2 linked regions of the Mytilus edulis genome follow. The protein of the gene in region 1 purifies or fractionates together with the protein of each later gene. This does not show direct contact. Links are inferred from orthologs where the notes say so. Each region holds a gene or a part of one and is shown on either strand. Other genes may lie near its edges. The genes, in order: N-sulphoglucosamine sulphohydrolase-like and formylglycine-generating enzyme-like.

Region 1 (8,125 bases):
GGTCTTTTGTGGATAGTTGTCTCATTGGCAATCATACCACATCTTCTTTTTTATATTAAGTTAAAATTACCACCGACGAAGAAGACCAAAAAAGGGATATTTTCTTGAGTGTATGTGGGAAGAATACCTACAAATTAATAAGGGATTTATTAGCACCAGCCAAACCATTAGGAACGAAATCACTGGCCGATTTAACAAAACTAGTGAAAGACCACCGAGATCCAGTACCATCAGAAATCATTCAGAGATTTAAATTTAACAGTAGAACAAGACACAGCGATGAGTCAGTGAGGACATTTATTGCAGCACTAAGAAGTCTGACAGAACACTGTAAATATGGTGACACGTTATACGCAATGTTATGTGACAGGTGAGTCATCGGGATAAAGAGTCACCGCATACAGAGGAGGCTGCTAGCAGAGTTGAATTTAACATTTGAAAAGGCATTGGAAATTGCTACCACTATGGAGACTGCAGAGAAGAATGCACAGGACATCCAAGCGAGTGGGACAAATGCGACATTTCAGAAACAAATCAACAAAGTTTCAAAATCATATACAAGAAACAACTCTGGAAATTCGAAACAAAGAGATTGTTACCGGTGTGGAGGAAATCACTTAGCCGCTGAATGCAGGTTTATGGATGCAAAATGCCACAGTTGTAAAAAGAAAGGACATATCGCAAAAAAATGCCGTAACAAATCTGCCAATGGGAATTTAAGTGAAAATCACAGAGTTTAAATCACGTTTTAAACCACATGCTCATTTCATGGAGCAGGATGAAAGTAGTGAAAGTGAAAATGAACAGTCAAGGGTCTAACTTAAATAAGTTATCAGAGAAAAATAACATGCATGTGTTATTACAGACATTTTCATGAGTTGTCTACTCTTTACTAAACTATGAGCTGTTATATCTTTGCAAAGATTAGTATACATAAAGAAAATTATAATATTAATAGAATTTGAGAAAAATTTAACAAAATGAAGGTTGTATATTTTCCCTTTGAAACATGTAACATACATATGTTATCACAGTTTTTTTTATATTTTAGCCCACAATAACAACATGTATATTATTTATCTCTAATACCTTATTTAAGTTAGACGGTTTGACTGATGAAGTTTACTCAGTTTTTCATTTTGGAAATTAATCTAATGAGGCATATAAAGTGCAAATCAATGTGAATGAATGTGAAATAGCCATGGAAATAGATACCAGCACATCAGTTTCTATCATGAGCGAGGATACTTACAAGGATTACAAGTCGAACTTCAGAATCGAACCGACAAGTGCTAAACTCCGAACATACATGGGAGAGCAGATTCCTGTAAGTGCATGCAATCGTCAATGTCAATTACAAAAAGGAAAGCGCAAAATTACCACTTCTGATAGTGAAGCGTAAAGGTCCGAATTTACTTGGCCAAGACTGGTTGAACAAACTCCAACTGGATTGGAAGGATATTTTCTCCGTCGTTGGAAGTGATAATCAATCGAGTGATTTGAATGTGATCTTGGAAGCAAATAAGGAGGTTTTCAAAGATGAACTTGGAACTGTAAAAGGCATGAAAGCCAAGATTTATGTTGATGAGAGTGCCGTACCGAAATATTTATTAATTATTAATTATTAATGCCGTTTCAAAGTTTCAAACAAGCATATCAACAAATTGAACTTGATGAGGACAGTAAGAGGTATGTGACTATAAACTCGCATAAGGGTTTATTCAGATACAAATCATACAATAGACTTCGGTATGGTGTAGGGTCCAGCCCAGGTATTTTCCAAAGAACACTTGAAAATGTTGTTCAAGGTATCGCCAATGTGATGGTTCGAGTAGACGATATACTGATAACGGGTAAAACAAGGGAGGAACATCTAAATACTCTTTCTGAGGTTTTGTCTAGATTTAAGAAAATCAGAATTCGGTTAAAGAAACAGAAGTGTTTGTTCATGGCCAAAGAAGTTGTTTATTTGGGATTTAAAATAAACAAACACGGAATCTATCCAGTGGAGAGTAAAGTTGAGGCGATCGATAAAGCCCCAAGTCCAACAAACGTGACAGAACAGAAAGTTTATCTTGGAATGCTGAACTATTACAATAGATTCTTGGCGAGTTTGTCTCACTTGTTAAAGCCGCTACATGTACTTCTACAGAAAGACACAAAATGTAGTTGGGAAAAAGAACAGGAAAAAGCGTTCATAGAGTCAAAACAGTTGTTGAAATCCCCATCAGTACTTGTACATTTTGATTCGAAAAAGAAATTAATCTTAGCATGTGATGCATCTCCGTATGGATTAGGGGCTGTACTTTCGCATAAAATGGACGACGGCAGTGAAAAACCAATAGCTTATAAAATGTACATCGCGAACACTTACATCAGCAGAGAAGAATTATTCTGTTCTTGAGAAAGAGTGTCTGGCCATAATATTTGGTATCAAGAAATTTCATCAATATTTGTATGGACACCCCGTTACAATCATAACCGATCACAAGCCGCTCATACATGTGTAGGTTTATTTCGAGAAGATAAACCTATACCTACAATGGCAGCATCTAGCATTCAAAGGTGAGCACTGATGTTAGCTGCATATGAGTACACGATTGTATACAAAGAAGGGAGTCTGAATGGTAATGCGGATGGACTAAGTAGACTACCGCTGAAAACAAACATTGAAAAGACACCAACTCCAGGTGATACATGTACTATATTATTAATGGAACATTTAGCCACTACGCCATCCAGTTGATGCTAAACAAATTCAAAAGCGGATACGCAAGGACACAATACTGTCTATGGTGCTTAGATACATTTTGAATGAATGGCCGTCAAAATGTCCCAGTGAAGACATAAGACCGTATTATAGTAGAAAAAATGAACTGTGTAGTTAGCATGGTTAGGACGGATCCATATTATGGGGAGGAAGAGTACTTATATCACAACCAGGACGTGAAGCCATGTTAAATGAATTACACCAAGGACATCCAGGGATTACTAGAATGAAAAGTTTAACAAGAAGCTATATATGGTGGCCGGGAATGGACAATGACAGTGATTTGTTTGAGCCAGAAATAACTATACCAATAAGTACTCCTGAGACCTAACAACCGAAAATCGAGAAACTGTCAAACATGACTGAACAAATGGAACCACATTATCCGTAGAAAATAAGAAAAGAACCATCTCATTTAAAGAATTTTGTGTTCAAATAAATGGTTGATTTATAAAGAGGCATAATAATCCTTACAACCATTTGGAGTGCATTAAGTACTTCGCAGAGCATGTGTGTACATATCAATTAGAGTACGAAATAACAACAAGACCAGTGCGAACATTCTTATTTTTATTTTCATAGTAGGACATTATACATACATAGTTTCAGTGCAGACAAATTTTAACAAATGAATCTTTGTGATCTGAAATTTTTATTTGTTTTCAAACTGATATGGACTTATAATTATCAATCAGTAGCTGTGAAAAGACATTAATTTTCTGTACTGGGTAATTGAATTAATTTGTTTTTAATTTGTTTTTATCTAAGGCTGGAGAAGTGTTATAAAGTTCACCACACAGTGCACTTTATTACCATGTCATCTGTTACAGTAATTATAATTGACAGATCAGCAACTCTCACATGTCTGCACTTCTTAAATAAACATGTAATTACATTTGTGTAAAAAGATCAATTGAAGTTCTTATACACATGTTGTCATTCTGTAGTCTGACCATCAAAGATGTACTTGTTAATAAATTAGTTATAGAAACTTGATTGTATTATTACATAAGCAAATATATTACAGTTTTGAAGCCAACAGAGAGACAGAGCAGGGTGATAAAGGCGTAGGGATGGACGATAAATTTATATATATATAAATGAACTAAAATTAAAAAACATACAAGACAAGAGTGAACTGTCCTGTTTCACCAGGGGTCATTTGGAGGAAAACATGTCATTGGACATTGTGAATCGTCAATGCAAGATACACATGATACATTGTACTTGGGATTCCATGGTCTTACTTTTAAAATGCTTCCATTTTCTCCTCTTCTTTTGTTACAGAAAACCATCAACATACTGATGTTTACTTTCCGGCGCATGCCTGGTAAATGTTTTTTTTTTTAATAAATATGTGAATAATTTTTGTCAAAACATAGATTAACAAAATATTTCTTGTTCAAAGTTGTTTTTGGTCATATATTTGCGTATTTTCAATTTTTTACAATTTTTCTTTGTTTTTGATTTATGCAATTTTTTATTTAGTTTTAAATATTACATTTTTTATTTTTATTTTTTGGTATAAGATGAAAACAAGAGTATCTGTTTATTTCAGATGAGGGTAAGTATCAAGGAGCACATCGTGTGTGAGTGCATCCTTGAAGTTTTCTGTAGTAGTGTTTTTGGTAATTTCAGAGGATAGTTTGTTCCAGTCTTTGATGGTTTGACAGAAAAAAGAAAATTTATAGCTGTCTTTATTGCATTGAATTTGTCTGTAGGATTCTTTATTGGTGGATTTTACATGTTTCATATCATTTTTAATATCCTACAATATATTTTTTAGAACCATATGAGATTAATCAATATATGTGATTATTACAAACTAGTGTTTTTTATAGTTTTTTTTTTTATATAATATTAATAATAAATATGATGACGATAATGCGTATTTTCCTGTTTCTTCTGCATTAGCAAAAGTTATCATTTGAAATGCACCTATTTCAAACAAATGAGATAATAAGCCATCTAAACTTCTTAATGAATATTGTCTGCTTTACCTGAAATTGTTTAATTCTACGCCGACATCAATTTTTTCTCGCACCTGCAAAATCCAATGGTTGATTATAAATTAAGGGAGATAATTACAAGGGAGATAACTGCACAATTTCAGCATTAACGAAAATGAAAGTAAAAACGTTTCGAAATGGTTTTGTTACCACTTTTATCTTATTTCTTACAGTAGATTCTATCTCATCAAAGAACGTACTCATTATTATAGGTAAATCATTGTAAGATCATTGTAAAGTTCTGTTCTATTATTTTTTTTTAATTTTAAATATAGATATAGGCCTAGGGAGCTACCATTTGATTTTTATGGGGGGGCTAGGATGAAAAATTTTGTCCTGCATTTTTTTTTTGCTGTAATCTCTGTCCTGCCTTTTTATTTTTCACTCTGTTCGGTCCTGCCTTTTTTATTTTTAGTTTATCTTGACTTTTTTTTTACCTAAATTGTCGTCCTGACTTTTTTTTTGCAAGTGTCTCATCCTGCCTTTTTTTTTACTCAAAACTCCTGTCCTGCCTATTTTTTTCAAATTTCATCCTAGCCCCCCCCCCCCCTCATAAAAATCAAATGGTAGCTCCCTTAGATGGCTATGTACAGTATAGCTTTGTAAAACAAAAACAAAATTGTTCGCATCAGGCGAAAAAAGTTTCTGACTTGGACAATAAATTTAGCGTCAAGATATTTAGATTATAACATGTATAATGATTATTTGAAATAAATAGATAAAGAAAAAAATCTTAATTTGTGTGTGGTTTTATTTTTTAATATAAATGAATTTTCATTATTTTATGATCATGATGATTCAAAGAGCAATTAATGAACATGATGAAGAAGAAAATAAACATATGTTCAATTTTGTTCTAGAAATATTTTGTTTTTGTTTTCAAGGATCATGTTTAAATAGGTTACAGTTACAATGGTTACAGTTTTGTGTATTAATTAATGAATTGATGTTTATGTAGTTGACATGGTTGATATTTCAAAGCCAAAGGTTCAAACCAATCTCGTCTTTATTTAATTTACTAAAAAGGTCCATATATATATAAAAAATCAATGTACTGACCATTCCTATAAGGGGTTCTCTATTGAAAATAAAACTATTAACCAAAGACATTTGTAAATATTTATATGTCTTCGCTGTACACTGGGAACAGTATATCTATGTTCCTGCTGTACATAACAAAATTTGAAACTTTAGTTAAACAGCAAAGATTGGTTAAATCTACTTTAATTAATTGACTTTTCTAAAAATTTATGACATTAATAGAATATAAACTTAAAGGGATAGTAGCTACGATTTTGACAAAATTATGAACAAGTTTCAAAGCTGCTAAAATCAAAGATATGTACTAAATATAAGCAAATTGCTCAATTTGTATTCTTGTCACTTTTTTTCTTCTTATCATATTATAGATTTCTATAATGTGGATAGTAAGATATTAATGTAATGGTAAAAGTAATGTTATTTCAAATTATATTTTTATAAGGTCTGACAGACACCTGCTCATCGAGCTATATTGAGCCTTTTATAATCACTTGGGTTTCATTGGCTGTTAATTGTTCTTCATCGTCTCAGTCTGTTGGCTGTTAAACTTGTACAAAGATCATCTATGAAACTTAATAATTGCATGAGCCAATTTAAACTAAACTTGGCCACAATAATCAGGTATCAAGTTTAAAAAATGTGTCTGCTGACATGTCTAAAATTAGAACATAGTGGTAAAATGCAATTGTTGTCTGTTATTTCTTGAGAAACAGTAAATGACATATAAAGTCTAATAGGGCAAAACATGTGTAGGTGACAAGTAGATAAAATGTACTATCTGTCAAATGACTTTTTAGTAGAACTATTACACCCTAAAACTATGATTTTTCAGAGTTTATGCAGTTTTGCCTATTATCTTGAAATGTAAAAGATAGAATGTTGGATTACCAATAATGTTCTGCAAGGCAAGATCTACAAATAAGTCAACATGATCTAAATATTATTTGATTTCTTATTACTTAAACAGTCAGGGGTGCTACTAAATAAACAAGTGATTTCATTATAACCTATTTCAGTGATTTGATAAATTCACCTATTTTAGTGATTTTTGTGTTTCTTTTGATATTCAAATGCTAATTTCATTGATTTTCCATGTTTTCACAAACTTTTCTATAATTTTCTTACATAGATCACATTATCCCTTTTTCTATGGATATTAACTTCACCAGTGCGCTTGGGCAGTAAGTTTTCCATATTTTCACAAACTTTTCTATAATTTTCTTACATAGATCACATTATCCCTTTTTCTATGGATATTAACTTCACCAGTGCGCTTGGGCAGTAAGTTAGTGCGCTAAAGCTTTTAAAAGTACCCTTGGGAATTGTTCTGTAATCAAATATTCATTAACTACTCTGACTATCATGACTATCAGACAAAGGTCAACAATATTAGGTAACCTGGTTGGTTTTCTTTAAGAATAGAATGATATACTTCAAGGTTATATCCTGATCTACAAATTATTCCAGAAAACGCATGTTTTAAATAAATTGTAAAAACTGGCATTTAGGCTTATCAAGCAAAAGACAATTCCTATATGTATATAGTTAAGTTGTTTTTTTCAATGGAATTCTTGTCTTTTTACCAATAAAAAAATCAAGCTTGTGAAAAAAATATCAAGAAAAAGTTATAAACACTTATTGAAGTGATCTTCATAAATTACTTGTTTCAGTGATTTTAAAAAGTCTGTGTCTATTTATAGATTTTTTTTTAATATTTCACAGCCAAAATCACTTGAACAAGTGATTCTGAAATCACTTGTTTAAGTAGTACCCCTTGACTGTTACAGTGACTTGACTGTTAGTGTTGCTATCCACCAATTGCAACTCATTCAAAATTTTGACCAAATTGCAATTTGTTTTATAAAATCAAATTGTTCAACTGGTCAGAATATTGATCAAATTGTTCAGTCAAAATGTGAAAGTGCAAGGTGATAAAATAATATATACTTACAATCCTATAAGAGTTGTACTCCACTTTAATGATGTTATTACTAAATTTGTTTATCAATCTGTATAGTTATATTATAGCCATTACCATACTAAAGGTAAAATGTTTTATTTTGAATTGCTATAAAAATGTCCAAACTAAGCTTTTATATAGTTTTTCTTTCGAAAAGGATTTTATATTTATAAGAATCATATATCATTTAAAATAATACATCATATATTCAGTAAAATACGTGTGAAATAACAATATGCTATTGATAAGTTTCCTTGGGGAGATAACCTAAAATACTATACTTTTGAATAAAGATTTTTTGAAACCAAAAAAGATTATCTCCCCTTCCTACAAACATATTGCAAT
Region 2 (7,290 bases), on another chromosome or scaffold:
GTAAATAGTCTAATTCGGTAGGTCACATTCATGAAAGGGAAGGGGATTGTAGTTACGACGTAAGAAACATATCCGATATCATTTGTGAAACGGTTATTCCATAACGGTCAAGCAACTCGTGATGGCGTCCGTAAAATTTACGAAGGGATGATTTCAACCTCACCATTTGGAAATCTTGGTTTAATAGCTTCCTTGTGAGCAGCAACCCGCTATCAAGAAAATCATGATAGGAAATGCAAGCAAGGGAATTTCGTATCAATTGGGAGATAAATACCCCGTATGCAGGTGCTGCTGGAATGTTGCTACTTAAAAATGGAAAGTTCACAATTGAAAACTGAAATCATCTCTTTTGTCGTAAAGTTTTGTTTTCAACCGACCCTCATTGTCAATTTCTAGATGTAAGTCAAGATATGAGGCCGACGTAACTGTATCTGTAGTATCCTTTATCTCTAGTTCGATGGGATAGATGAGTTCAACATAGTCACCAAATTTTGAATTATCTAGTGAAAGAACATCATCTATATAGCGGAAAGTAGAGTTCAAAGATATTCTGATCTTTATTCCTGAGAAGTTCCTGTATGAAGTCAGCCTCTAATAATAAAGAAACAAGTCGGCAAGAAGAGGGGCACAGTTTGTTCCCATTGGAATGCCGATAGTCTGTTGAAAAACACGTCCTCCGAACGTAACAAATAATTCTATCGTCAATCAATAAATCAAGCATCTTGATAATGTCAGTTTCAGAGAATTTTTTGTTTGAATCAGAGTGATCCTTTACAAAGTAGGATTTATCCTTCCTTAAGACAACATACTTTTATCTACGTTGGCCATTCTTTTTTATGAAAAAAAGCAGTACCAAATGCCAAAAGTGAGTGTAACAAGAAAAATATCTGTGAATGTTATTAGAAACTATTGCGTCAGGTCACTTCACTGCTGTTATATTTCTTTTTTTTTCTTCAGAGAAAGTGTAATCGCTCATTGTGTCAGATCAGTCGCTTTCATATCATCTGACTGTTGTTATACTAGTTTTTCAAAATGGGGAACACAACCAATACTAGTCGAACATGACTATTTATATGCTGAAAGTCCCCCTTACCCACCAGCTATGAAAACAAGGCACCTAACTACAACGGTTCCTGTGGAATATAAGAATATCACATACGGAAGAAGTACATATAAGAATATCACGTACAGACAAAATACATATAAGAATATCACATACGGAAGAAGAACATGTATAAGAATATCACATACGGAAGAAGTACATATAAGAATATCACATACGGAAGAAATACATATAAGAATATCACATACGGAAGAAGTACATGTATAAGAATATTACATACGGAAAAAGTACATATAAGAATATCACATACGGAAGAAGTACATACTAAGAATATCATATACGGAAGAAGTACATACATAAGAATATCATATACGGAAGAAGTACATACTAAGAATATCACATACGGAAGAAGTACATACAAACAATATCATATACGGAAGAAGTACATATATTAAGCGGATGATATTATATAAACCAGCTAGCCTTTTAAGATAGAGGTTTAAAAGGTTATTGTTTTTAAAATCTTATTAATGTTGAAATATTTATATATTTTTACCATACTATAAAATTAGATGGAACATGGCAATCTTTATACATTCTAAAGGCACATTTTATCAAATAAATACTTATTATTTTCTTTTTATTACTTTGACATTTACAAGTCCTTTTTAGAACACCTCGATAAAACAGAATATCAGTGTCCTCTGTTGTTTTTTCTAATCTTTTTATGTAAAAAAAAAAGTTTGTTTGATAAATAATTTCTTTCTTATTACTATATTGAATGTGTGTCTTCTTCTAAGAGACCTATTTGCAACGTACATGCACTAACCAAAACAGGGGTGCAACGGAAATGCACCCTGTTCATTGGTGTAGATAGATGATAACATTAAGAGACCAATTTAGCTGCATAAGATGCGCATTGCGACTATTAATTGAAGCAAATTTGTAAAAACAATATCCGTATTTAAACATCTGAGAAATCATCTGAAAAAAATACCAGATTTTTTGGCACGTCTTCTCTTCATATGTTCACACCATTTACAGAAGAATCTAACTAATTTATCAGAATAATGACAAATATTTGATTCACAGAAATTTTGATCGAATCTTATAAATGAAACGAGTAGAAATTATATATGATCGAATTTTAGTTGTAGTTCCTTATGTGGACCATTCTTGATGTCAAATCTGAACTCACCAAATAATTTTATATTACGAGAATTCTTGTGTTACTTAGAGTACACGTATCATTGATCGCAGGAAACATGTTCAAATAACTAATAAATCTTCTTTAGTTTCAGAAAACCATCAACATACTGATGTTTACTTTCCGGCAAAATATATTATACCAAAACAATGGGAAAAACAGTCCACCGACAAAGGTCTCGACCCAGTTGTATTAACATCAGAAATGATCCATTCAAACTATATGACGGTGAATTTTTGCCGATTTTAGACATCGCCAAAGACTAACATAGTTTACTTGCATTTTATTTATTTTTTAACCAATCCAGGTGGTCACCGCATACGGTTGACGGGTTTTGATTAGTTAAACCACGCCAATTCTTCTCTGGCATCCAGATATAGTGATAGAACGAGTAAAATATCAACAGAACCTTTTTCAAACGAATAGCGGTATTAATATAGTGTTTTGTATATTGGAACCGTGAGCTAGTTGCATGTCTTATTGGCAATCATACCAATACTCCGAATTTTATTTATATTCATAGTATCTTTAATAAAGAAGGCGTCTTATTCTGTTTTATTGTAAACATACCTTTTCATCAAAATTTTCATTTTTACTTCATGAAATATGAAAGGACAACGCGAAATCATGGCGCCACCATACTACTGATAGATTTAACTTACGAGAGTTTGGTTTGTTGGTATCCCTTTTTAGCCAGAAATAAATCCTTGGGACATTCAGATTGAATCGATAACCCTTTCTTATCATAATCTTCAGACGGTTTCACTCCAAGCGGTGCAACTTTTGCAAATTGTAGTTTCTTCATTGCGGTAACGTGGTCAAACGTCTTCTACTTATATGTAGTCATAGAGATTTCATTTTAACGTCATTACCATTGTTCAGAGAACTTTTCGTTAATATCCTACGCTTTTGTAGAAGACTTGTTTCTTTGTCGCATTTGGCTACCAATTAGGCGTGAGTTGGGGATGGGGGTAAGTTGGGTTACAATGAGTTTTAAGATTTTACAGGCTTCGCAAGAAAACGATGTCTAGTAATTGGTCTATTTTGTAATTCGTTCTGTCGCCAGTGCCATCAGTAACTGCAACAGTTTTTCTTTAATACTATTATAACTTAACTTTGCATTACAGGGACAGAAATTTCATTTGTGCCTCCTATTTTTGGCACTTTTGATGACTTTTTATTCATGATTTCTCATGTGTGGAACTTAGTCATGTTTGCCATTTGATATAGAATACAAAGATGTGTTATATGATTGCTAATAAGTTTATTAATTTTTCATAACTTCTAGGCTGGCGATATTTCTTGTCCGATTTGAATGATTTTTTTCTTCATTCAATACTGTACAGAAGTGTTTGTAGCCTCTTATAATGTACAGCTAGTGTCTCTCTTTTTCTCTCCACCCCACCCCAAACCCCCTAGTTATATATCCGTTAATTAACACGTATTATCATTATTACATTGCACAGAGATATGAATTTGCCCGCACACTTTGTAAAAAAAAAATCATGACTATAAAAGCAAAATGTCCATATTTGTTTACAAACCAGTTGTGGATCCAGGGAAAAGGGGGGTATTCCAGGGGTTGGAACAATTTCCTGAATGAAAAAACCATTTCAAAGAAGTATTTCTTTAGTAATTCTTTGACCATGTTGACTGATTGCCCTAAATTTCATTTTTTTTTACACCTTTCAAATGTCTGCTATTCATCTATAATAAAATATATTTGATACATATTGTTTAAAGCTGCAGTTATTTGGTTTTAAACAGACGTGTAACAACGGCGATGTGTCCCCCGTTGACAAAACATCAGGAAATTTCAAACACCCTTTAATCCACTGAACATTTCAAATGATTTTTCTCAAAACAAACACGTTTTAAAGCTAAGAATATTTTGCATTTGAAGTTATCTCTATATAGAAATGTCAGTATACTTCAAAAACATAAGGACCTGAACATAAACTGAAGATAACATGGAAAGATATGGCGAAAATGAGCACCCTACTCTACACTATCTGCCATCGAATCACCAATGAGTAGAAAGGTGTCCCGTAACTGGAAAATTATTCACAGAAGTAGAAGAGTAAACTTCTTTTATCTGGAGGTGCAATAAGTAAATGATATAAGCGACAAGTAGGATGAAGCAGACGCATTTGAGAACTGTTGTGTTGTTTGCATGTTTTTGTGCGTGTTATCTTGAAGAACAATGTGATGTCAAAGATGATAGTTGTAACAGTGCGAAGGAAAAATCGTGTGGTTGTTCAATTAGTCGTGACAAATCTAAATATGACGAAAAAATAAACATAAACGTGGACAGTGAAGACGAAGGTCTACAAAGTGAACTTTTGCAAAAAGATGATTTTAAGTACCAAAGGACTAACGAAATGGTTTTTATTGAAGGTGGAACATTCTCTATGGGCACAAATAAACCAATTTTTATGGTAGATGGAGAAGGTCCGGAAAGATTAGTTAAAGTTAACCCTTTCTACCTAGACAAATATGAAGTTAGCAATAGAGAGTTTGAAATATTTGTGACGAAGACAAATTACAAAACAGAGGTAACTGAGGAGAATCTTAAGCAGCAACCATTTGATTTTCTGGGGGTGGGGGTGGGGGGTGGGGGGGGGCTATGGATTTTTTCTGGACAAATTTTTTCCTTGCTATTTTTTAGGCGAGAAGTAGAAAACAATTTTTTTCTTTCAATTTTAGCATTACATATAGTGGCAGCTGAGGGTGAAACAAACAATTTTTTTTCTCAGGATCAGAAACAAATTTTTTTTTCTCCAAAAACTGGAAACAAACTTTTTATCCCAATAACTCCAAATGGCCTCTGGTCCAATCGCATATTTTATTCTTAAAAAGAACTCAAAAATGGTCTATGCTGAAAGTAGTCTGATATTACTTTCATTGTGACTACGACGTCCAATGGCTGTTTTGCCCTTCAAGCATTTTTGTAAATATGATCCTGTAAAGGGAAATTCAATAGTCCATTTGCCAATTAGTGATTTGATTCTGTTATACAGTGAAACCTGGGTAAACCGAACCCTGATAAAACCGAATTTCAGTTTAAACCGAACAAATTTCAAAGTCCCACAAAATTTCCCCATCAATTAACGTTAATCTAACCTGAAAAAACCGAACCCTGTCAACACCGAATTCCGAACGCTTTTTGAAGGCTCGTTAGTAAATTTGTATCTAAAAATTACCTGTCAAAATCGATCAATACCAATCAAATTATTTGCATGATTTAATTAAACAAACACAGGATGGCAGAGTATCCCCGAAGGTATTTGAGGTTTAATGAACTTGTGAGTTGTTATTACAAACTAATTAGCATGTCTGTGTGCATGTATAAAGTGATTTTTTTGTAAAGAAACGTTAAACTGGTCAGCTACCCCCATCGCCGATAATGACAAGAATAATTACGGCCACAAAATCGAAACTGCCATTCTGTAGCTAAACTGTTTAATTAAATAATAGTTTTAAAGACTTTCACTGGATTAAGAAGTCGTGCAACACAACAAGGTCAATGGATTTCGATTGCTGGATTCCCATTAGAGGCCCTATATACTACAATGTATTTGATTCGAATGCTCCCGAGGACTTCCGCTCGCTATTTAGCAACGATAAAGTCCGAGAATAAACTGGACCCCTGCTGTTGTTTCACTGTTATCGTGTGCCGAAGTATCAATCAGCGGGTGACCAGTTTAGTCCGAGAACTCGTGTGTACAATGACATTCCCGATTCAACTACGGAATCGTCATGTGACTGTGAATCTGAATTGGTCAGTGAATTAACGGATGAGAAAATAATTATAAAAAGCAAAATCACTCCACGTCGGACATCTCCCAACGATGAGCGTGATTGACAGAGTGGCGTTTGATTTATAACAAAAATGTAGCAAAACGTCTATCTTTTATCTTCTTTTATTTTTACATTTACATCTAAATCAACACAAAAAAAAACTGTCGGCTGTTGTGTCACCTATTATTCCTGCCAAAATTTTTTGGTGTCGACTTCCGTCTACCTCTACAATCCGAACACCTGTGAAAACCGAACAAAACGCAAAGTCCCGTGGGTGTTCGGTTTGGACAGGTTTCACTGTATTTACACACTTTTTAAACTAATTACTTCCCTTTGTCAATCGTAGACTGGTTCCATATCGGACAAAATCATTTTTTGCCAATGCAAAGCATGATGAATTGAAAGTTATGTACTGTGGCGGCAGTTTGATTAATTTTTCATGAAAAATAATTTCTGATATCAAAAGTATTTAGCTTAACAACAAATTGATGTATAATAAAAAGATATGAAAACCTTAAAAATTACTTACATTATGCACAGGTAAATTTGCTCTTTCTGCTAGCTCTCCATTGTTAATGAAAACTATTGTCCCTCATAAAGGAGACAACTGAAAAGGGGATCTCTAATAATAGGACCAATTACAGGAATTGGCAAATAGCCTATTGTAGAATTGTTTTTGTTTTTCTATTTTTAGGCTGAAAAGTTTGGAAATTCCTTTATAATGGATAAATATGTGAGTGAAGAAACATTAAAAAAAGTAAATCAACAGGTAAGCATGGTATACCAACAAGATGAACATTAGTTATTAATCAAACAGAAACTGTCTTCTATGGTTGTCCCATGCTTGCTTCTGACAATGAATGGAGTTTGTGGATTTGATCCCTAGTCTGCCAGATTAAAACTTGAAAGTAGCAACTCATGGTTGCTTCTATGATATAAAGCATGTAGCATTAAGAATTAATTAAGTCAGAGTAGATTTTTCAAGGAGACAGAATAATATCATGTAAGGGTAGGGTTACATAATATGTCTTAAAGCAGGCTTAACTTGTGAACTAACTAGCTGATTAAAAATCTGTAGTTCCAGTTAAGCACAAAACAGAATCCATATATATTTGACTCTATCATGTTTTTGTCCATGTACTGCATGTTATTGTATTTACCACTGGACGTTAAACACAAATTCATCTTCTTTTATTATATATAAAATAAGTTCTGTTAA

What was found.
Region 2: the proteins of N-sulphoglucosamine sulphohydrolase-like (region 1) and formylglycine-generating enzyme-like purify together in Homo sapiens (co-immunoprecipitation; 3 studies listed by BioGRID and IntAct, with this or other methods). This does not show direct contact. The link is inferred for Mytilus edulis from reciprocal best matches to the Homo sapiens genes SGSH and SUMF1.

The regions. Positions count from the first base shown.
Region 1 is NC_092352.1:65,483,156-65,491,280, forward strand, and holds the start of N-sulphoglucosamine sulphohydrolase-like, read left to right. Parts: upstream 1-4,844; 5' UTR 4,845-4,894; coding exon 4,895-4,991; intron 4,992-8,125. UniProt on the Homo sapiens protein: Catalyzes a step in lysosomal heparan sulfate degradation.
Region 2 is NC_092344.1:86,298,893-86,306,182, reverse strand, and holds the start of formylglycine-generating enzyme-like, read left to right. Parts: upstream 1-4,277; 5' UTR 4,278-4,405; coding exon 4,406-4,825; intron 4,826-6,765; coding exon 6,766-6,840; intron 6,841-7,290. Other genes in the region: uncharacterized protein, read right to left, coding at 2,933-3,075.